Linked DNA regions of Drosophila melanogaster. The protein of the gene in region 3 binds, or shares a complex with, the protein of the main gene of each other region. Each region holds a gene or a part of one and is shown on either strand. Other genes may lie near its edges. The genes, in order: IntS9, IntS4 and IntS11. A codon is read from its position in the direction of its gene.

Region 1 (6,756 bases), on a different chromosome or scaffold from region 3:
GCCAAAAAGCAACTAGAAAAATCACAAACTAATTATGAATGAATATGAATTTATTAGGCTTTGGCTGATTTGCGTCACGCCAAATGGTTCCAGGCTCGAGCGACAGGCCTCCAGTCGTGCGTCATGGTCATACGCATCCTCAGGGATCTGTGCCAGCGCGTCTCTTCCTGGCAATCGCTGCCCCAATGGTCTTTGGAGCTCCTCGTAGAGAAGGTCATCTCGTCGGCTGGCTTTCCCATTTCGCCCGGTGACTGCATGCGTCGCATCATGGAGGCCTTATCGTCAGGCTTTCTAATCAACGGACCGGGCCTGCTGGATCCTTGCGAGAAGGACCCCACAGACGCTCTACTCGAGTTGACCAAACAGGAGCGCGAGGATCTCACTGTGTCCGCACAGCTCTTCCTGCGCTACATTGCCTTTCGACAGATTTACAAAGTGCTTGGCATGGAGCCATTGCCGGCGATGAAGTTTCCAATGCGTCCATGGCGTGTCAACCGCAAGCGACGTAGGTCATCGGGCAAGGCAGGTGGTGCACCCGGCACGGAGACCGAGTCCAATGACATCGATGAGACCGGCTCCGATGAGAAGGTGGCCAAGAAGGAGGGTGTCGGAGGCACTCCTGCCAGCACCTAAGCGGCGAGAATAGGTTATATACACGTAGTCGGCTACTAATATTACAATTTCTCTCAAGATAAAAGCGCGACCAGGCGTCACTTAACTATAACCAACTCTAATCTATACACGAGTATTCAAACCGATTGGGGCACAAGGAGCTAAGCATGTCCAACATGTTGCCCAATCGGCGATTAGTGAATCCCAAATTACCCCAACTTTAACTAACAATATTTAGTGGATCATAAAACTTGTATTTTTCTAGCATTAGTGCAAGGCAAGGCAATGTATTCAGTTTGAATGTGAACATTATGGCCCTCACACTCATATACACAAATACTAGAACGAAGCGGATTTTAATAAAACGTATTGAACAATTATAATTAAATTATTTTTTTAATAAAGATAAGCTTAATTCATTCACGTAACTGGAAATCTTAATTGGAGATAATCTAGCACTGATAATATTCTTCGCTTTATAAATAAGTTCTAATTGAAATTAATTCAAATATATATTTATATATATGATATATAATTTTTAAGGAATTACAAGAAGTCGTTCCACTTAGAGCAAATTTTCTTAGTAACTGTTGGCATATTTTCAGCGGAACGTTTAGAGGATCGTGGCCCTGTGTTCCTGGTTTTCTTAAAGTTCATAGAGATTTCGTCGGAAAGTTCATCGGTTTTCGTAGGTTTTGCTGCAGGCTTTTGAGTAGTTTCAATGGTATTATCCACATAGTTTGCCCATTTATTTGTTTTCTTCTGAGGTGTGGTGTTTTCCTCTTTTTCTTGGCAGTCTTTCTCCTCTTCGAGCTGTTGCTTTGCCGTGAGGAATAAGCCCGTGTTCAGACATTCCTCCTGCATTCCGCGCTCTAAGTTGAGATGCTGCACCTTAACCCGGCATTCCGCTGCCGATCCTCGAAAGAATTCCTTGAGCAAACTTTGCTTTTGGCGGCAAATTTTACACTGCCATGTGCTTGCCTTTTTCACGAAGTCCACCTTGTTTAAATTAGGTATATATATATAAGTAGTTATTGAGTTCTAAGATATATTTCAGTTTGTTTGCACTCACCTGGTACATTTTGCATTGAATGCATTGTACCACGCGAATTTGCTGGGACATTATTCAAATTTGCGAAAAACCAAATAAAGAGACCAGGGATGGAAACCAACAGCACTGCAACAAGTGGAGTGAAAAAAATGTGGTTGCACAAATGTTAAAGCGTGATGACTACAGTTTAACAAGTAGTAAAACATTTACCAAAATTTGTAATTAACTAATTTTGGTACCTATGGTTAATGATTTAGCCGGGTGCTGATTCCGGTTCATAAGTGAACCAAATCGTTCCCCATCCCTGGTCCAAATATAAACAAACTTGCATCGTCTAATCGGCACTGTCGGTTTAATAAAATGCGATTGGTAAGTCATCCTGAGAAGTAAATAACAACTTAATTAGCGGAAGTGACTATCCACTTTGCAGTATTGTCTCAGCGGGGACCTGGCCAAGCCATGTTATATCATTACCTTCAAGGGCCTGCGGATTATGCTGGACTGCGGTCTCACGGAGCAGACAGTCCTGAATTTCCTTCCGCTGCCCTTCGTTCAGTCACTGAAGTGGTCCAATCTGCCCAACTTCGTGCCCAGTCGGGATCATGATCCCCAAATGGATGGCGAGTTGAAGGACTGCTGTGGCCGGGTTTTCGTGGACTCGACGCCCGAGTTTAATCTACCCATGGACAAAATGCTGGATTTCAGCGAAGTGGATGTGATACTTATCTCGAATTATCTTAATATGCTGGCCTTGCCGTATATCACGGAAAACACGGGGTTCAAGGGCAAAGTCTATGCCACGGAGCCAACGCTGCAGATCGGCCGATTTTTCCTGGAGGAGCTGGTGGACTATATCGAAGTGTCGCCCAAGGCGTGCACCGCGCGCTTGTGGAAGGAGAAGCTTCATCTGCTGCCCAGTCCCTTGAGCGAAGCCTTTCGCGCCAAGAAGTGGCGCACTATCTTTAGTCTTAAGGATGTCCAAGGCAGTCTGTCCAAGGTGACCATCATGGGCTACGACGAGAAGCTGGACATCCTCGGAGCTTTTATCGCCACTCCTGTCAGCTCGGGCTACTGCCTGGGCTCGAGCAACTGGGTACTGAGCACGGCGCATGAAAAGATTTGCTATGTCAGTGGTTCCTCCACGTTGACCACACATCCGCGGCCCATCAATCAGTCGGCGCTGAAGCACGCCGATGTACTCATTATGACCGGACTGACGCAGGCGCCGACGGTAAATCCGGACACGAAGCTGGGCGAGCTCTGCATGAATGTGGCCTTGACGATCCGCAACAATGGGTCTGCCTTGATTCCCTGTTATCCTTCGGGCGTTGTCTATGACCTCTTTGAGTGCCTCACCCAGAATTTGGAAAACGCTGGCCTAAACAATGTTCCCATGTTCTTTATTTCCCCTGTGGCAGACAGCTCCTTGGCGTATTCTAATATCCTGGCCGAGTGGCTTAGTTCCGCCAAGCAGAACAAAGTGTATCTTCCAGACGATCCTTTCCCACATGCCTTTTACCTTCGCAACAACAAGCTGAAGCACTATAACCATGTGTTCTCCGAGGGCTTTAGCAAGGACTTCCGGCAGGTTTGTCTAACATAATTGTGAAAACTTCATACTACAAATTCTCTGTCTTCCTTACAGCCCTGCGTGGTCTTTTGTGGCCATCCTAGCTTGCGTTTCGGCGACGCTGTTCACTTTATCGAGATGTGGGGCAATAACCCTAACAACTCCATCATATTCACGGAGCCGGACTTTCCGTATCTGCAAGTACTGGCGCCCTTCCAACCACTGGCCATGAAGGCTTTTTACTGTCCCATCGACACCTCTTTGAATTATCAGCAGGCAAATAAGCTGATCAAGGAGTTGAAACCAAATGTGCTTGTCATCCCAGAGGCATACACAAAACCACATCCCTCGGCCCCAAATTTGTTCATTGAACAGCCGGATAAGAAGATAATAACGTTCAAGTGCGGCGAGATCATACGTCTGCCATTAAAACGGAAGCTGGATCGAATTTACATTACCTCGGAACTGGCCCAAAAGATATCGCCAAAGGAGGTGGCGGCCGGCGTGACCTTCTCCACATTGACAGGAGTTTTGCAAGTTAAGGACAAGGTCCACTGCATCCAGCCATGTGCGGATAGCGTTAAAGACGAGACCATCTCGAGCAACAGCGCTCCGACAAAGGAGGATGTGCTGAAGAACGTCAAATACGAGTATGGCAGCATTGATGTAGATGCAGTGATGAAGAAGCTGGCACAGGATGGCTTCTCCAACATCAAGCTAGACCGCACTGGCGGCGCTCTGACTCTGAACCTTGTCAATGAGGACACAGTCATTAAGTTCGAGGACAACGAGACGCATATTATCTGCGGCGGAAAGCCAACAACCCGGCTCAAGCTGCGAGACACCATCATGAAATGCTTACAGAGTTTTTAAAAACATAAATGTATTCCTTACACCTAAATAACAACACATCATTACGCTTAGTTCTTTGCCTCCATAACGTCAGAGCAACGTTGACACGTTTTCTGCTCATCCTCCAGACCATAGCGACGACAACGTGGGCACAGTGATATCTGAAGTTTACTTAAAGCAATATCCAAGTCGCTATTATGGGACTGTAAGAGCGTAACTGACCCCACTTGCAATATCTCGCATAATTCAGAATTGCTCACAGACTCTCCAAGAGGGCTGTGAAGTTCTCGCAGCAAATCCAGCTGGCTTCTTTCCTTTCCTTTGATGGTCACGGCCAAGTGCCAGGTGTTAACATCTCCAGCCTGTTGGTTAATAAGTCGTTTAACATCGAACGCTGCATTAATCACTTCAGTGGCTTTGGTGTCCTGCCATTCAGGATTAGTCTGAACAATTTGCTCGTGGAATGCACCACCTGTGGTGTCATAGTAGCTCCAGCTTTCCTCCACCAGGAAGGGAACAATGGGCCATAAGCTCTTGCAGAGTTGTTGATAGCAGTGGGTAAGAGTTTGACGAATGGCCAGTAGCTCGTGATCATCACCACAATAAAGACGATCCTTGATGAGATGCACATAGACGGCGGACACCTGATTTGCAATGAAGTTTTGGACACAGGCGACAACACGATTGTACTCATAAGCTTGGTATAGCTTCTCCACCTTAAAAGCGATTGACATGATTAGTTGAAAAACTAAGATTAACAAAATTTCCTACCTCAGATTCAAATTCAACCAGCTGGCTTAACAAATAACGATTAAGATAGCTCTTATCCGAAGTTCGTATAAGCTTCTCCCCCGATTGTTTCTCTCCAATTACGCCTTTTAAATATCGCATAGTTCCGCGGATCTTGCATAGATTTTCTGCCGCTTGCTGCAGTAGCTTATCGCTCACTGTAATGGACATGTGCTGCGTTCCATGGGAGGCAACCCACCAACGCAGTGCATCCGTACCATATTTCTTGGTTATCTGCTTTGGGGAAATTACATTTCCCAAAGATTTCGACATCTTGTATCCTTTCTCATCCACGGTAAATCCGTGAACGAAGAGGGCCCTATTGGATATTAATATTGAATAGGTTTTTCATTAAAAAGTATTACACTAGAATAGAGTCTTTGGTATTACGTATCTACTCACTTGTACGGTGCACATTCCCGAGCAGCAATGCTCATAAGCAGTGATGATTGAAACCAACCGGTGAATTGGTCATAACCCTCAAGATACAGATCGGCTATCTTATCCTTGCCCAGCACAGCGGACCATGTGCTACCAGAGTCGAACCAAATGTCCAGTATGTCAGTGCCCTTGACAAGATCTTTGGCTTCATGGTGAAGTTCACGAAGTAAATGCTCGGGTACCAGTTCCTCCACGGATTTTACCCACCAGAAGTCGATTGATCCCTCCTTGCGGAGCAGATTGCAAAGATGTTCAATAAGAGCGGAATTAAGTACCACTTTTCCGGACTCCCGACTGTAGAGAACAGGAATGGGTACGCCCCACGCTCGCTGCCTGGAGATGCACCAATATGGTCTCTTCTGGAGTTGTGTGAGCAATGCCTTCTTGCTGGCCTCAGCATTGGCTCTAGGATAGATCTCCACTTGTTCCAAGGCATCTGCAGCAGGCGTCTTTAGCTTTTCGGTATTAATGAACCACTGCTCACTGGCACGAATTATCACAGGCTTTTTTGTGCGCCAATCAATAGGATAGGAATGTTCCAGCTTTGAGGAGTGGACTACATCCTCTGCTATGCGGTCGAGGACTAGGGAATTTCCCTGATCCAACACTGATTTTCCGCGTAGAAAATCAGGAGCTTCCTTGGTGTAAGTGCCCTCCTCATTCACAAAACACTTTACAGGAATTTTCTGGGTCAGACTAACAAGGAAATCTTCTGGTCCATGGGCAGGAGCTGTGTGCACCAGGCCCGTACCTTTGCTATCCTGCACATGACTGGCGTCGAAAAAGGGCAGATTCGATTGTTCTTTATCAATTGGATGATTATAGCTCAGCTTGCTCAATAATTCTCCACTCAAGTGCTGCACTATCTCACACTTTAGCTGAGTATTGGCCTCAAAGTCCGCCATAAGAGCTGAAGCCATGAGGTATAGCTCATCCTGGTTGCGATCCGACAACCTGACTATAACGTATTCCAACGAGGCATTGTAACAGATGGCTTGGTTACTCGGCAAGGTCCACGGAGTTGTGGTCCAGACTAGGGCATAAATTTGCTTATCCTTTACATCAAAGCTACTTGGATTAAGAGCAAATCTCACATACACCGAAGGACTTATGTGATTAGCATCATATTCCAGTTCCGCCTCGGCCAGGGCTGTCCTAAAAAATATAAGATAGTGTTAAGTATCAATTTAAGTTGTATTCAACTCACCTGGATGAAGGTGACCAGTAAACTGGCTTCAAGTCGCGATAGACCAGTCCTTTCTCGTACAGATTGTAGAACATTTCCAATTGATTGACTATAAACTCTGGCTGGAAGGTCATGTAGATATTGTCCTTCTGCCAGTTGGCCAAAATGCCCCAGCTGCTGAACTCCTCTTTTTGCGATTTAATGGCCTCCCAAGCAAAGGCACGAGCTTTAGGAAATAATAAAGAATTAGCAAAG
Region 2 (7,067 bases), on a different chromosome or scaffold from region 3:
ACAGGTTTTAGGTTAACTCGGGGAGATAAATAAACAAAGGAATGGGGTTGAGATTGAAGGAAAGGAAACAATAGTAACAGTAGTTGTTGGTGCTGCTCTTGTTATTTTTGCTCTTTAAAAGGGGTTTGCATGCATTTTACACAAAATGGAAAGCGTAAATGGCAAACTATTACAAATTATGCGCTCTTTTTCTACAAATAGAAATGCCCCGCTCTCTCACACATCCCCTCCCTCCCACCACTTTCAAGCGAGCGCTCTTATTCACTCCTTTTTGCAAACCAATTGCAGCTGAAGCGTTTAAAGGCGCCAGTCGAAAATTGTTTTTCAGAGCGCGAAAAATCACACATACACACACGCGCTAGAAAAAAAAAAAACAAAAATGGGCCACAACAAAAAGGTTTTTCACATACGAAAAGCAAATCAAAATGCAATAAAAACAACAAGCAATTCGAAAAAAAAAAACAGAAGGAAAAACAGCTCACGAGACTCCGAGACCCGCAAATAAATGACTTCCCAAGTGATATTATATCTCGCACCAATACACTGATAGCTACTCTAGTTTTGTGCAGCGTGCGTGTGACTCTGTTGGGTGTGTGCGTTTGTGTGTGAGTGTGCAAGGGCGTACAGGTGGCCGTAGTATGGGGGTGGGAGTGGGAGCGGGACAGCACACATGCACATGTACCGAAAGGCGGCTTCGATTATGCAAAAAAAATATAATACAATAAGAAAAAAGGGAGAAGAAAGATGGGCAGAGAAACCGCTAAATGCGCACACACCTACACCTAATGCATATTTTACCCGATACGATTTTCATTTGCTGGCTGAATTTTCGGTAAAAAAAAACTTAGTTGCATTTGACAGAGGAAAACTCCCGTACACCCACACACATTTACAGCAGGCCATCGCGCACATGTACTTGTACATTTTAGGCAAATTAACACTTTCTTAATGTTCGCCAGTGTTGGCTAACGACCCAAGGAGAGCAAGTGAGAGAGCGGGGCGAAGTGATATTGAAGAAAGGCAGAAAGAGAGAGCGATTTATTGTTTTAACCGGCAAAAAACATACAGAGGCTGAAATTAGTCGGAGTAATTAATTGCAGTGGATATCGATAGACGGGCCTCGGTGTTGCCACCTGGCTTCGAAGGGCTCTCTCTCTTTACAGCACTGTCCGGGGCAAATGTAAACATTTAATTTATGCAACCGCTGCAGTAATTAAGCGAAAATCAATTAAGCAGACTACTCCAAACGCACGCCCGCTCTCATCCTCGTATTCTATCACACGCACACACATGCGTATCGAACTGCTCTTCACATGATTTCTCGCGTAATTCAGTTGGAATTTTTCACACACAATTCGTTTCTTCTTTTTTTTTAGCCGTTTTACCTTGACAAGTTTTGGTTCTCGTTGCGATTGCGTTGTATTTCAAGTTTATCACACATACATATACTCACACCTACACACGCAGCAAAACGTGAACAAAATACACATGTTGGTTATAAAAAATAAGCCAAGTTATATTATGCCAGTTGTATTATTGTGCAGCACAAAACCCGCCCAAAAATTAATGGAAAATTACAGTTGTTGTCGGTCGGCGTCGCTGCTGCTTCTTCCGTTCTTTCTTACTGTCTCACTCTCCCTTCTCACATATCCTTATAAGCACTAACAATTTCTGCTTCTCGCTCACTTTCGTTGCGCTGCCGATGGAGCTCTCTCTTTCACTCCTTGCTGCCTCTATGCCTTTTATGCACTCCCCACACACCCGCACACAGAGTGACATTTGAAGCACATACAGACGCACACGACTGGTTCTTTCGAGAATCGAACATTACCGAATTTATCAAATTGCGCTTCGCAATTGTGCATTTCCTGTGCAGATCGCAGGCCTCAATCGCGGCACGATTGTTTTTCGCCCTTTAGCAACGTTCCCTGTCAATTTCTGTGGATTTATATTGCAATTTGCGTGCGAACACGCGACCGTTTCGCGATAGAGCTGGTTCACGAATCGATTGATGAGCGATGTTATCGATAGACCTGATAAGCGAGAGGTGGATGTGCTCGCTAGATTCGCCAAGGTTGATGACTCCGCTAAGTGAATGGTCCTATTACAAAATATCGATGACATCCAAATTGCTTGTTAAATATAGTTTCAAATTTAACTGTAACATAAAAAAAATGTATTAAATCAATTTTAAAAAAACCCAACTTAGCATTTGTTATTTGGGGAAAGTCCATGCTATTCCCACCTACTCAACTGACAGGACGCATCACCAACTAAATTCGTTAAAAACATTGTGATTATTATAAACAATTAGTATTATTTATCCTGTGGCTTATGCGATTGGTTGTCATGCGATATTCTGGCTTTCACCATGTTCTCTGTACTACTGTACAGTTCCGCCGCTAATCAGACGTCGTCATCACTGATTCACCAGTTACTCATATGTGATGAGCAAGAGGGAGTTTTTGCCCGTGCCCTTACTTTCCCATTCGTCGCCTAGCGAAGGCAATGATGAAACAGCGAGGAATTCCATTTGGAGCTTAACTGTGTAGCGAAGCGAATCGCTTCCATTAGGGACTTTCCTCAATTCATAAACTAAATATACATATGTATTCACTTTAATGCTAAAAATTAACGAAGCAATGCCTGAAATCAAGAGACTTTGCCTCGCCACCGAGAATAGTCATATCGCAGCCAATGCCATGCTGCTAACAAAGATAGATGGTATGTTTGTGACATACATATCTTATAACACCGGATCATATTACATTACCTAACCCACTTAGAACTCAATTCCCAAGTCCTGTCGCAGCGCGCAGAAATCGAAAACTTGACGAGGGCGGTTAAGACACTTACGGAATTCGTTAAGCAGTCGATGAAAACGACCAAGCCGAAGGCGAAGGGAAATCCGGACGATGATTTTCCAATTATGTATGAGGAGGATCTGGTCGAAGTGAATCACAAGATAAGCCAGGACTCCAGGGGGATCTATGTAAGTTTCTCCTTCCTCATGCTTTTCCATCAATAGAATATTATATAGTTGTACTTATATGATCCCTGATCAGACGAATTCCATGCGGAAATTCCTGCGCCAGGGAAGATTAAGCCGCACCATAAGACTCATTTTCTCCGAGGACATCCTTCTGAACTACAATATTGATGGGAATCAGAAAAAGAAAAGACTAAAAGATCACGAACATCTGTTTCGTTCGCTTATGAGTAAGTTTAGTGCTCGACATCCAACTTTTAGTGATCCATTCAATAATTATCCCCAACTACAGACGCCATCGGTCAGGTGGAACCGACGCTACCCTCGGAAAAAGTCTTATTCAAAGCCATGAGATGCGTTAAGAATTGCGCAGCCAAAAAGAAGGGCAAGGTAGATGATGACCCCTTGTCCGTTTTGAGCGTGGAGAAATCATAACTGTGCCCATGTGAGATGACATAGTAGAAACAAGGATTTAAATATAAGTAATGATTTACGGGCGAATCAATCCGAATTGAGGATGAATACCCAAATAGTGGTTGATGGATCATCATCACTTTGTTGAGAAGTTATCACTTCATGGAGAAGAGCGAGAGCAAAACAAAAGACGAAAAGAAAACATCGATTTTTCACTATACTATCGATGTTTCACGCCTTCAAAGTGAAATGTCCAAAAAATATGCCTCGTTTTCTTTATATGATTACTAAATGACACATTTTTTTAAAATAATATAATTATTAAATGCCTGGTGATATTAGCATTATCACTCTTGTGAAAGCAATTTATTTAGTTATGGGTTATCCACCAGCAAGAACCTCTTGCGCGGTCACGATGCCATCGCTAGTGGCGGGTGGTTGGCATCAGTGGTGTGCCATCTCTAATTTGCGGTTTACCTAAACCAGGTGGAAGAGTGCAACTCTAGTCTGCATTGGTTGAATCGCGCAAAGGAAAAGGAAACCATGGCGCTGGCCATTAAGAAGCGCGTAGGCACCTACGTGGAAACGGTGGACGGGTCGCCGCCGGTGAAGAAGCTGCGTCTGCAAACGCTGGCCGCTGATGCCAAGGGCGGGAAATCCGGAAAAGTGGGCAATGTGGAGCGCAAGCTGACGGCGCTCAACCAATTGGACGCCTATGTGGGCAACCTGCCCGCCGGTGCGTTGGTCCTGCCCACTGGGACACCAGTTGCTTCGACGGGAGCCCCGTCAACAGGTGTCATCGGAAATCCGCCGGCTGCGGCGACTGGAGCTCCCCCAATGACGGCCGCGAATAGCAGGGAACTGCTGGAGCTCTTGGTCAAGATAACCGATGAGATATCCTATGAGGACGTGGAAATGGGCGAGCTTAAGGAGGTGGCCAGCAAGATCTTCCAACTGTATCAGCTGCAGGAACGCGATAGCGACACCTCCATCCGGGTGAAGCTGCTCGAGCTGCTGTCCGGATTGGGTTGCGAGTGTGCCACCGAGCAGGCGCTTACCATGATCATCGACTACTTTATCTTCTTGTTGAGGAAGGAGGTGTCCCAAAAGGTGCTCGCCCAGGGCATGATGTGCCTGTTTCGAATCGGGGAGCGCAGGAAGCACATGTTGCCCATATCGTACAAAACCCAGGTGGCCCACCTAGCCAAGGAGCAGCTGCGCTCCGGTTCGGCGCATACGCAGAAGAACGCCATGCTGGTAATCGGTCGTTTTGCCACCAAAATGGAGGGTGAGCGTCATTACGTATGGAAGTTAGCCTTCTACATCGACTCGCAGGACTCGAGCGTTCGTGCCCAGGCTCTGCACGCCCTGCTGACCCTCGGCGAACGGGGATCCCAACTGCCGGCGGTGCTCTATAAGCGTGCCGTCGAGGCCATGAAGGATGACTACGAGTGTGTGCGCAAGGAAGCTCTACAGCTGGTCTTCATGCTGGGCAATCGGCATCCGGACTACATTTTACCCTCGGACCGCCAGCAGGAGGAGCTGCGCATGATAGACGCTGCGTTCAGCAAGGTCTGCGAAGCCCTGTGCGATCTATCGCTGCAAATTCGCGTGCTCGCAGCGGAATTGCTCGGTGGGATGACCGCCGTAAGCAGGGAGTTCCTACACCAGACACTCGACAAAAAGCTGATGAGCAATCTGCGCCGGAAGCGAACGGCGCACGAGAGAGGTGCTCGCCTGGTGGCCAGCGGTGAGTGGTCATCGGGTAAACGGTGGGCGGACGATGCGCCGCAAGAGCACCTCGATGCTCAGAGCATCTCAATTATAGCCAGCGGCGCCTGTGGCGCCCTTATACATGGCCTAGAGGATGAGTTCCTCGAGGTGCGTACTGCGGCAGTGGCCTCCATGTGCAAGCTGGCCCTCTCTCGACCGGATTTCGCGGTGACCAGCCTAGATTTCCTTGTGGACATGTTCAACGATGAGATCGAGGATGTGCGGCTGAAGGCCATCTATAGTTTAACGGCCATTGCCAAGCACATAGTGCTGCGCGAGGATCAGCTGGAGATAATGCTTGGATCGCTTGAGGATTACTCCGTGGACGTGCGTGAGGGACTACATCTCATGCTGGGCGCCTGTAGAGTGTCCACACAAACGTGCCTGCTAATGGTGGTGCAGAAGCTGCTAGATGTGCTGGCCAAGTATCCACAGGATCGTAACTCCACCTATGCCTGCATGCGCAAGATTGGCCAGAAGCATCCACATTTGGTGATGGCTGTCGCCGTTCACCTGCTTTACGTGCATCCCTTTTTCGAGACGCCCGAACGCGATGTCGAGGATCCAGCGTATCTGTGCGTTCTGATACTTGTCTTCAATGCTGCAGAACATTTGGTGCCCATTATCAGTTTGCTGCCCACGGCCACCCATCGCCATTACGCCTATCTGAGAGACTCGATGCCGAATCTGGTGCCCCAGTTGCCCATTGAGGGTGCGTCCTCGGCGAGTGCGACGCACAGGATCGATTCGGCTATGCACCAAGCGGGCAGTTCGGCGGAGTACCTGCAGATGATTCTCAGTCACATCGAAGAGATCTTCACCATGACTGACGAGCGCTTGGAGCTGCTCCAGACTGCCCAATCTAATCTGCAGGTTTGTATGCCCGCTGGGCTTACTACAATATAAATGAACACTAATGTTTACTATGTTTTTTTTTTAATAAACTTTAGCGCCTGGGATCCATTGATGCGGGCATGTACGGCACCTCAAACTTTCTAGAGACCTTCTTGGCGGCCCAGATCCAGATCGAACAGATGCAGCGTTGCGCCAGCACGCAACGAAGCAGGGTGCCCTTGAAGGAATCACTGGCAGCACTCATCCGAAACTGTCTCAAGCTGCAGCACACTTTCTCCGGCCTCAATTACGGCGATATCTTGCAGGTGAAGCAGCTGCGCCTGAGGGCTTGCGCGCTTCACTTGGTCCTCGTGGTCAGGGATCGCTCACAGAGTGCATTGGGCCCGTGCCAGATGCTTTTGCAAACCGCCGGCGATATAAGTGAGTTCATCAAGGCGAATACGAAGGATGAGGAGGAGAAGCCACCGGTGGTAGAGACCGATATGCCCATGAAAGAGTCGGTCAGTAGGGATGCCCAGCCGGATAGCTTCACCCGCCAGCTGCTAATCAAACTGGATGGCATATCGGATCCCAAGCCGGGTCGCGTCTTTCGCGAAATTCTGCCGCTGGTCCAGCAGGCTCCTCCGCTTGCATTGCCACCCGCCAATGACAAAATACGCCGCTGTGTGGCCAACATCCTTGAGCCGTGTCCGCTGCAATCGCAGGATAATGTAATTAAGGTCACGGCTGGCCTGATAGCAGCCGTTCCTTTTGTTGCGGAAATCGACAATCTGCTGGAGTCCCAGAAGGCGGACATGCGGATCAAGATCAAGTATCCGGACCAGCACATGCACACCGTGGTGCCGAAGCAGAGTGACTTCAAGCCCATTATGACGGAGCAGGGCGAGCACAAGACCAATGTGCGCCTGCGCACCACAATCCTGCTGTCGCACAGCGTTTGGACGGAGTCGTCGCTGGTGGAGATCCAACTGTGCCTGGCCGTGCGTCCCGGCAGCGAACTGGAGCTCTGCAAGCCGGCAAAGGTGCTGTTCGCACC
Region 3 (7,067 bases):
TATATAAAAATCTGTTTAGTGTCTAGTGCAAGGTACTTATTGGGCTTAAGTCTTCTCTATTTACAAGGCTCTCAAATGGGGGGCAAAAGCTGGGCAAACCCAGCCTCCTCCGCGTCTCATGAGTACGCGCAAAGGTGTCCGCACTTGGGGCACTTGGAGTGTTTGGCAAAGTACTTCTGCAGGTGCTCTATGTGACCGCCGTGGGAGCATCCTTGGCACCAGGCGTAGACTCCCCGGACGATCAGACCGCAGACGCAGCACTTGGCGGACTGCATGGACTTGCACTTGTCGCAGTACCATCCCACCTTGCCGCCCATTGGACGTCCACACTCTCCACAGTTCGTGTGCATGGCGGTCGAGTGCTGGTTGAGCTGCTGCACCGATCTCAGCCAGGAGCGGTTGATAACCTCGCAGGCCTCGTTCCACAGCTCATAGCGATGCAGCTGGTCCACGTAGGTGTAAAACCAGTGCTCCTGAAAAGGAAGAAAACCGGATGAATAACTCCGTTCTGATCCCAACTTTGTCTTTGAACTCACCACCAATGCATCGTCAATGGGCAGGAGCTTCCGAGCTTCTCCCAGCGCTATAAGGACTGTCAGAGCTGTTTGCACATCGCCCACATCGTTCATTAGCATGAGGGCATCGGAGACGAACTTATGCGGTTCCCACATGGGTATGGGCGGGACATGGCTGACTTTTAGGACAGTGGGAACATGCGGTGGCTAAAAAGAGGATGAATAAGTTAGTTAAGCTGTAAATACATCGAGTTCTCAATAATCTCAACTAACAGGTGACTTTTCGTGATCGGACGCCTTGAGATCCAGTTGTGGTCGTGCAGCCTGCACATCGTGATGAAGGGCGGGGAAGGCCAAAGCTTTCGGGCATTCTGTGGGACCCACGTAGATAAACCCATTGCGCAAGAGCTCAAAGTTGTCAAAGGTAATCTCGCTGATGATTTGCGTTTCGGACAGAATCACTGAGCTCGTAGGCGGATGCTCCACACCACTGCTGCCGAGCGTATCATCGTCCACATTCGCCACATCAATTTCGTGGGCTGTTTCCGGCGTGTTTCCATTGAGATCCTGGCCTAGTTCAGTTCGCTGCTGTGGCCAATCGCTGGCTACTTGCGTGGCACGTCGTGAGTTCATTGGATTCTTTTGATTCGAGAAGGAGGAGCGGTGCTCGAAGGGAGGCTCAAAGTGATTGCTGCCGTAGAACAATTTGATAAAGTTCCACAATGTGGTGGCCTGAAAAATGTAGATGCTAAGTTTTGGCAAATTTTGGGAATAATCTCAAGCGCTTACATTATGTTTGCCGTATTTCTTGGAAACCTCTGCATTGTGCTCGCATAACTCCGATAGTTTTTTCCCACTGATAACAAGTTCCCTGGCACAGCCAATAAAACTTTCGTGTTCTTGGGTGGGTCTTGAAACAGATTCGCTTAGGGGATAGCCGGAAAACTGAAATATATCAATTAGTATCAGATTTGGCAAAGAAATCCCTAATAGTGTCATACTAACCGTGTCGTTTACCATGAATTTGTACATTTTGGAATGGTCCAAATGGAACTGAATGCTGCCAGCCACATTCGTCTTACGGCGACTTCTAAAATACACATACATATAAACATACAAGTTGATACAACAAATACGACATACATGAAGCTAGAAGACTTGGTATTGGATGCACCGCTGGTCTTGGGTTCATACTCCTTGATCTTGTTGGCAAAGGAGATGTCCCCAAATCTGCCCAGGCTAGCTCCCTGGGCATTTGCCTTCAGCGCTGGCCTCGTGGCATCCTTAAAAGCATGTTTGTAAATGGTGGAGTCCTTGCTGATGGACAGAAGACAGTGCGAGTCGCTGCCCTGCCACGCAATTCCAGTAGTCACATTGGTGTGCTCGTTGAAGGAGGCAAAGGGGATGTAGGGTCTGCGGATGTCCCACACATGAACGCTGTAGTCCACCACAAGGGCACAACTAGCGATGTGATAACTGGAAAGGATTAAACAGATTTAATATAAATAAGACTGTTAAACCTGGCTAGAAAAACCTACGTTCTTTCTGGTCGCCACTTAACCCGTCCCACTACGGCGATTGTGTGAATGGTGTGCTCCAATCCCGGCCTGCCATCCATGTTCCACACCTTGATCTGCTTGTCCCGACTTCCGGTGGCCAGCCAATTCCTTGTGGGATGCCAGTCGCATGTGTAGACTGGCCCGTAGTGCGCCGTAAACTGCACCATGCACTTGTCCCACTTCCGCATGTCCCACAACTGGACAGTTCCATTCTCGGAGACGGCGGAGAATATGTTTTGTGTGTGTGGACTGAACTTGACATCCCGCACTGATTCCGAGTTGCAGAAGTAGGTGTTGATTGACTTATCCGATCGGATGTCGAAACACTTGATGGTGCCATCCTGAGAACCGGAGATCAGGATGTTGGGCTCGCTGCTGTGAAAGGTCACGGTATGAGCGGTGCGCTCATGTTCGTTGTAGACAAGCAGCTGCTTCTGCCTGCCGAACTTGGAGAGATCCCACACGGAAACCACTCCGTTCGTGGCCGCCGTAGCCAAAAGATTGCTATCCAAGGTGGACCAGGCCACATCGTTGGCGGAGTAGCTAAGATTCTGGTTCTTTCCGCGCATATTACACGATTCCGTGAAGCCATTGCTGTTTATGGAGTACACCTTAAGCACTGTTCGGAAGCAAATTATGTGTATTTATAGAAAGACCTTGGGCAATTCTAATCTTACAGCTTCTTCCGGCCAAAGCAATCTGGTTGTTGTCCTTATTCAGGGCCAGGGCGTTCGCGTGTCCTTCCAGGCATATCCGCAGCGAGATTGTGGAGGTGTCCTCCACGGAATCGGGCATCCTGCAGCAGTTGCAAGTTCGCCCGCAGAAAGCAAAACAGTGATTTGATAAGACAAGACGCTATCTTTTATTTTCCTTTCGGTTCAGTATGACCGTTTCTCGAGCGGCAAACCATTGGCGCGAGTGTTCCCAAATGCAGATGTTGAATATTGTTTGAACAAAAGACTTATTGTACTAAAGTTGTATTATTCACATATAATTAATGTATTCTATACATATACAGACAGAAACATTAATTTCAATTAAGCTATTAAATTCTTTGAAACTTCTTGGAACACTCCAATAAGATCTGCCAGTTGGAGCGCGTCGTTGCCGGACCATCCACACCGACGGAGTGGCAACGCCATTCGTGCGGCCTTGCTGTTTACAAAAATCACGGTCGACTTTTTCGACAATTTCATTTACCAGCGCAACAAGTGGCCGCAAGAAAGCAGGAGAGTGGAGCCGGGTGATCCTGATCCCTTCCAGAAATGCCGGACATCAAGATAACGCCCTTGGGCGCCGGCCAGGATGTGGGCCGCAGCTGTCTGCTGCTCTCGATGGGCGGGAAGAACATAATGCTCGACTGCGGGATGCATATGGGCTACAACGACGAGCGCCGCTTCCCGGACTTCTCCTACATAGTGCCGGAGGGTCCGATCACCAGCCACATTGACTGTGTGATCATCTCGCACTTCCACCTGGGTGAGTCTCGGCCTCCCAAAGGCGCTCTTATCTGGTCAACTGGCTCTAATCGTTTCTTTATCGATTGCATGCATTCCAGATCACTGCGGGGCCTTGCCCTACATGTCAGAGATTGTGGGCTACACGGGGCCCATCTACATGACGCATCCGACCAAGGCCATAGCACCCATCCTCCTGGAGGACATGCGGAAGGTGGCCGTAGAGCGGAAAGGCGAGTCGAACTTCTTTACCACCCAGATGATCAAGGACTGCATGAAGAAGGTGATTCCCGTCACACTTCACCAGAGTATGATGGTGGACACGGACCTTGAGATCAAAGCCTACTATGCAGGCCATGTCCTGGGCGCCGCCATGTTCTGGATCAAGGTGGGCTCCCAGAGCGTTGTCTACACGGGGGACTACAACATGACTCCAGACAGGCATCTGGGAGCCGCCTGGATAGACAAGTGCCGGCCGGACTTGCTGATCTCCGAGAGCACCTACGCCACTACCATTAGGGACTCGAAGCGGTGTCGCGAGAGGGACTTCCTCAAGAAAGTTCACGAGTGCGTGGCTAAGGGCGGCAAGGTTTTAATCCCTGTTTTTGCCCTGGGTCGCGCCCAGGAGCTGTGCATCCTGCTGGAGACGTACTGGGAGCGCATGAACCTCAAGTACCCCATATACTTTGCTCTGGGTCTTACCGAGAAGGCCAATACCTACTACAAAATGTTCATCACCTGGACGAACCAGAAGATCCGCAAGACCTTCGTTCACCGCAACATGTTCGACTTCAAGCACATCAAGCCCTTTGACAAGGCCTACATCGACAATCCTGGCGCGATGGTAGTGTTCGCCACGCCAGGCATGCTGCACGCAGGTCTTTCCCTGCAGATCTTCAAGAAGTGGGCGCCGAATGAGAACAACATGGTGATTATGCCCGGCTACTGTGTGCAGGGAACCGTGGGCAACAAGATTCTCGGTGGCGCCAAGAAGGTGGAGTTCGAGAACCGCCAGGTGGTCGAGGTCAAAATGGCCGTGGAGTACATGAGCTTCTCGGCCCATGCAGATGCCAAAGGTGGCTACAAGCTTAGCACTTTTATGCTGATACTAATTAATTTTCTGTATTGCAGGCATTATGCAGCTAATTCAGAACTGTGAGCCAAAGAACGTCATGCTCGTCCATGGTGAAGCAGGGAAGATGAAGTTCCTGCGCTCGAAGATCAAAGACGAATTCAACCTGGAAACCTACATGCCGGCCAACGGCGAAACCTGTGTGATTTCTACGCCTGTGAAGATACCAGTAGATGCGTCCGTTTCCCTGCTTAAAGCAGAGGCCCGGTCCTACAACGCCCAGCCACCGGATCCCAAGAGGCGGCGACTAATCCATGGCGTCCTCGTAATGAAGGACAATCGAATAATGCTGCAAAACCTAACCGATGCCCTGAAGGAAATCGGAATTAATCGACATGTTATGCGATTTACATCCAAGGTCAAAATGGACGACTCCGGACCGGTCATTCGCACAAGCGAAAGACTGAAGACTCTGCTCGAAGAAAAGCTAGCCGGCTGGACGGTGACGATGCAGGAGAACGGCTCCATAGCCATCGAATCCGTTGAGGTGAAGGTGGAGGAGGACGAGAAGGATCCCAAGCAGAAGAACATTTTGATATCGTGGACCAACCAGGACGAGGACATTGGAGCCTACATACTGAATGTGCTGCAGAATATGTGCTAGGCAACGAAGAAGCATCCCATTGAAATCCCACGCCTTAATTCCATAGATAAGCACAAAGTGTAGATACCACCAATTTCTGAAAGTTTAAAGAGTATCAAAATATACATAAACGTTCCAATAGTTTTTTGGTCATTAGTCATTGCCACTTGAAATTTGAGACTTTATGCACATTAAGTTATATCAATGGGTCTTTGCATAAGAATGCAATCGAATCCCATGATATCAATGTGTAAAAACCAAACAGACCTGTGCAAGTGCTTTCAAATTCCTTGCCTCCCACTCCAATTAGGTAAGGACTCCATGGTTAAAGTTATTTTCGTTCGTTCCACGCTATTTATTCTGGGGTTTTTCTGAAAGAGTAACATTACTAGGGCTCCAGGCGTAGCTCCAGGTGCCTGGCACCATATGCAATTAGCTGTATGAATCGTTAGAGCTGTTCGAACACATTCCATTCGCTTATGTGAGGGCGGCGGCACCGGAGATGATTTCAATCAGCTCGCGAGTGATGACCGCCTGTCGGGTACGGTTGAAGGTGAGGGTCAGCTTGTCGATCATCTCACCGGCGTTCTTGGAAGCGTTGTCCATGGCAGTCATACGGGAGGACTGCTCCGAGCAGGCGCCCTCCTTCATGGTGTAGAAGATGAGCGAGGCCAGCGAGAACTCCAGATAGCTCTTGACCACGTCGCTGTCGAGCGAGTCGTAGACGGCCAGCTTCTCCGACTTCTCCACGGTGGATCCGCTGAAGATGGGGAGGGTGGAGCACTGGTAGGACACCACCGACTTGAAACGGTTGTACACGATCTTGCCCTCGGTGTAATCGTAACCGGTCTGCAGAACCTCGTTGGCAATCTTCGAGGCGTCCAGGAAAGTGGGGGGCAGTCGGCCCACCTCGTTGGCCACCATCAGGATGTTCTTGCCGTACAGACGGGACAGAATCGCGCGCGACTTGTCGCCCACGCAGAACACCTTAGTGTTGGCCTCGTCCTGGGCCAGTTCGCCGCGAATGAGACGGGCCACACCAGTGTGGACGGCACCGCAAAGACCACGGTCCGAAGTCACTGCGATGAGCAGCTTCTTGGGCTCCGCCTTCTCGTCCGGCTGGATCTCCGTCTTCTCGAAGAACTGCTGGGCGCCGATGCCGTAAGGACGAGCCGCCTTCAAGTCTCGCTCGGCACGAGCGTACTTGGCAGCGGACACCATCTTCATCGATTGCGTAATTTTCTGAATGTTCTTCACCGACTTCAGGCGGATGGAAATCATCTTCAGGGTGGCCATGCCACGCTGCTGCTGGGCCAGCATGGTGGCCTCCATGGCCAGGGGCAGCAGGAGCTGGGTGCGTTGCATCATCATCCTGTGAGTTGTCGAAGATTCCCTGTCGCGAAAATTAGCTCGATTCACTCGGCAAAAATTGAGAAAATTCACCTACCTTGCGTTAAGTTGGCTGCGCCACAACGAGTGTTATAACACCGAGCAGAGTTGCCACCCAGTTCGGGTTAACGCGGTGGCGATTCGTGGTGAACGGTAAAATATTATATTAAATAATTTATTTTAATTATGGAAATTTCGGATAATGGATTTGTGCTACATATAACTATTAATATTGGATAAAATACAAAACTTCTTTGGAAAGCTTCAGAATGCACAATAAAGCTTGAAATTAATTTGAATTTATGTAACTCATAATTATGACAATAGAGTTAAAAACAGAATAATAATTGATAAGGATTAAGAGGTTTGCCAAAGATGCCAGCTTGTTTTCTACCCTCGACCAGAGTTTTCCTTCTCCTTGCCAGCTCTGTT

The links.
Region 1: the proteins of IntS11 (region 3) and IntS9 are in contact, whole or in part, in a cryo-EM structure (PDB 7SN8), measured with the Drosophila melanogaster proteins. Residues at the interface, in NP_651721.1 of Drosophila melanogaster: His94 (codon at 3,698), Lys97 (codon at 3,707), Ala98 (codon at 3,710), Pro135 (codon at 3,821), Thr137 (codon at 3,827), His139 (codon at 3,833), Gln140 (codon at 3,836), Ser141 (codon at 3,839), Glu149 (codon at 3,863), Lys151 (codon at 3,869), Lys274 (codon at 4,238), Thr277 (codon at 4,247), Tyr278 (codon at 4,250), Lys280 (codon at 4,256), Met281 (codon at 4,259), Phe282 (codon at 4,262), Ile283 (codon at 4,265), Thr284 (codon at 4,268), Trp285 (codon at 4,271), Phe294 (codon at 4,298), Val295 (codon at 4,301), His296 (codon at 4,304), Val450 (codon at 4,821), Lys451 (codon at 4,824), Ile452 (codon at 4,827), Pro453 (codon at 4,830), Val454 (codon at 4,833), Asp455 (codon at 4,836), Ala456 (codon at 4,839), Ser457 (codon at 4,842); in NP_648838.3 of Drosophila melanogaster: Glu128 (codon at 2,466), Tyr198 (codon at 2,676), Asp199 (codon at 2,679), Glu200 (codon at 2,682), Lys201 (codon at 2,685), His230 (codon at 2,772), Asp333 (codon at 3,081), Ser334 (codon at 3,084), Ala337 (codon at 3,093), Tyr338 (codon at 3,096), Asn340 (codon at 3,102), Ile341 (codon at 3,105), Glu344 (codon at 3,114), Gln351 (codon at 3,135), Val354 (codon at 3,144), Tyr355 (codon at 3,147), Leu356 (codon at 3,150), Pro357 (codon at 3,153), Asp358 (codon at 3,156), Asp359 (codon at 3,159), Pro360 (codon at 3,162), Arg509, Lys510, Leu511, Asp512, Arg513, Ile514, Tyr515, Ile516, Ser518.
Region 2: the proteins of IntS11 (region 3) and IntS4 are in contact, whole or in part, in a cryo-EM structure (PDB 7SN8), measured with the Drosophila melanogaster proteins. Residues at the interface, in NP_651721.1 of Drosophila melanogaster: Thr182 (codon at 3,962), Pro183 (codon at 3,965), Arg185 (codon at 3,971), Gly188 (codon at 3,980), Ala189 (codon at 3,983), Trp191 (codon at 3,989), Ile192 (codon at 3,992), Asp193 (codon at 3,995), Lys194 (codon at 3,998), Arg196 (codon at 4,004), Ile210 (codon at 4,046), Arg211 (codon at 4,049), Asp212 (codon at 4,052), Ser213 (codon at 4,055), Lys214 (codon at 4,058), Arg215 (codon at 4,061), Arg258 (codon at 4,190), Asn287 (codon at 4,277), Gln288 (codon at 4,280), Lys289 (codon at 4,283), Lys292 (codon at 4,292), Thr293 (codon at 4,295), Met299 (codon at 4,313), Gln400 (codon at 4,671), Asn404 (codon at 4,683), Asn469 (codon at 4,878), Ala470 (codon at 4,881), Pro472 (codon at 4,887), Pro473 (codon at 4,890), Pro475 (codon at 4,896); in NP_572488.1 of Drosophila melanogaster: Arg226 (codon at 4,622), Ser227 (codon at 4,625), Gly228 (codon at 4,628), Gln233 (codon at 4,643), Lys256 (codon at 4,712), Phe259 (codon at 4,721), Tyr260 (codon at 4,724), Asp262 (codon at 4,730), Ser263 (codon at 4,733), Gln264 (codon at 4,736), Lys299 (codon at 4,841), Asp300 (codon at 4,844), Asp301 (codon at 4,847), Cys349 (codon at 4,991), Leu351 (codon at 4,997), Lys380 (codon at 5,084), Lys381 (codon at 5,087), Ile437 (codon at 5,255), Glu441 (codon at 5,267), Glu443 (codon at 5,273), Phe444 (codon at 5,276), Leu445 (codon at 5,279), Glu446 (codon at 5,282), Arg448 (codon at 5,288), Asp471 (codon at 5,357), Phe472 (codon at 5,360), Asp475 (codon at 5,369), Asn478 (codon at 5,378), Glu480 (codon at 5,384), Ile481 (codon at 5,387).

What each region holds. Positions count from the first base shown.
Region 1 is NT_037436.4:16,100,831-16,107,586, reverse strand, and holds IntS9 (integrator 9), read left to right. Parts: upstream 1-1,959; 5' UTR 1,960-2,023; coding exon 2,024-2,032; intron 2,033-2,093; coding exon 2,094-3,251; intron 3,252-3,308; coding exon 3,309-4,106; 3' UTR 4,107-4,153; downstream 4,154-6,756. Other genes in the region: Zn72D (Zinc-finger protein at 72D), read left to right, coding at 58-633; CG43295 (uncharacterized protein), read right to left, coding at 1,159-1,611, 1,685-1,735; IleRS-m (Isoleucyl-tRNA synthetase, mitochondrial), read right to left, coding at 4,154-4,801, 4,857-5,193, 5,277-6,470, 6,523-6,727. UniProt on the Drosophila melanogaster protein: Component of the integrator complex, a multiprotein complex that terminates RNA polymerase II (Pol II) transcription in the promoter-proximal region of genes.
Region 2 is NC_004354.4:8,555,578-8,562,644, reverse strand, and holds the start of IntS4 (integrator 4), read left to right. Parts: upstream 1-3,863; 5' UTR 3,864-3,946; coding exon 3,947-6,049; intron 6,050-6,126; coding exon 6,127-7,067. Other genes in the region: CG12112 (uncharacterized protein), read left to right, coding at 2,622-2,724, 2,787-2,992, 3,066-3,219, 3,282-3,424. UniProt on the Drosophila melanogaster protein: Component of the integrator complex, a multiprotein complex that terminates RNA polymerase II (Pol II) transcription in the promoter-proximal region of genes.
Region 3 is NT_033777.3:29,742,131-29,749,197, forward strand, and holds IntS11 (integrator 11), read left to right. Parts: upstream 1-3,206; 5' UTR 3,207-3,339; coding exon 3,340-3,553; exon of another isoform or gene 3,554-3,632; coding exon 3,633-4,607; intron 4,608-4,662; coding exon 4,663-5,267; 3' UTR 5,268-5,383; downstream 5,384-7,067. Other genes in the region: Wdr24 (WD repeat domain 24), read right to left, coding at 117-473, 537-722, 789-1,247, 1,305-1,460, 1,521-1,605, 1,659-1,991, 2,054-2,693, 2,752-2,869; ATPsyngamma (ATP synthase, gamma subunit), read right to left, coding at 5,724-6,617. UniProt on the Drosophila melanogaster protein: RNA endonuclease component of the integrator complex, a multiprotein complex that terminates RNA polymerase II (Pol II) transcription in the promoter-proximal region of genes.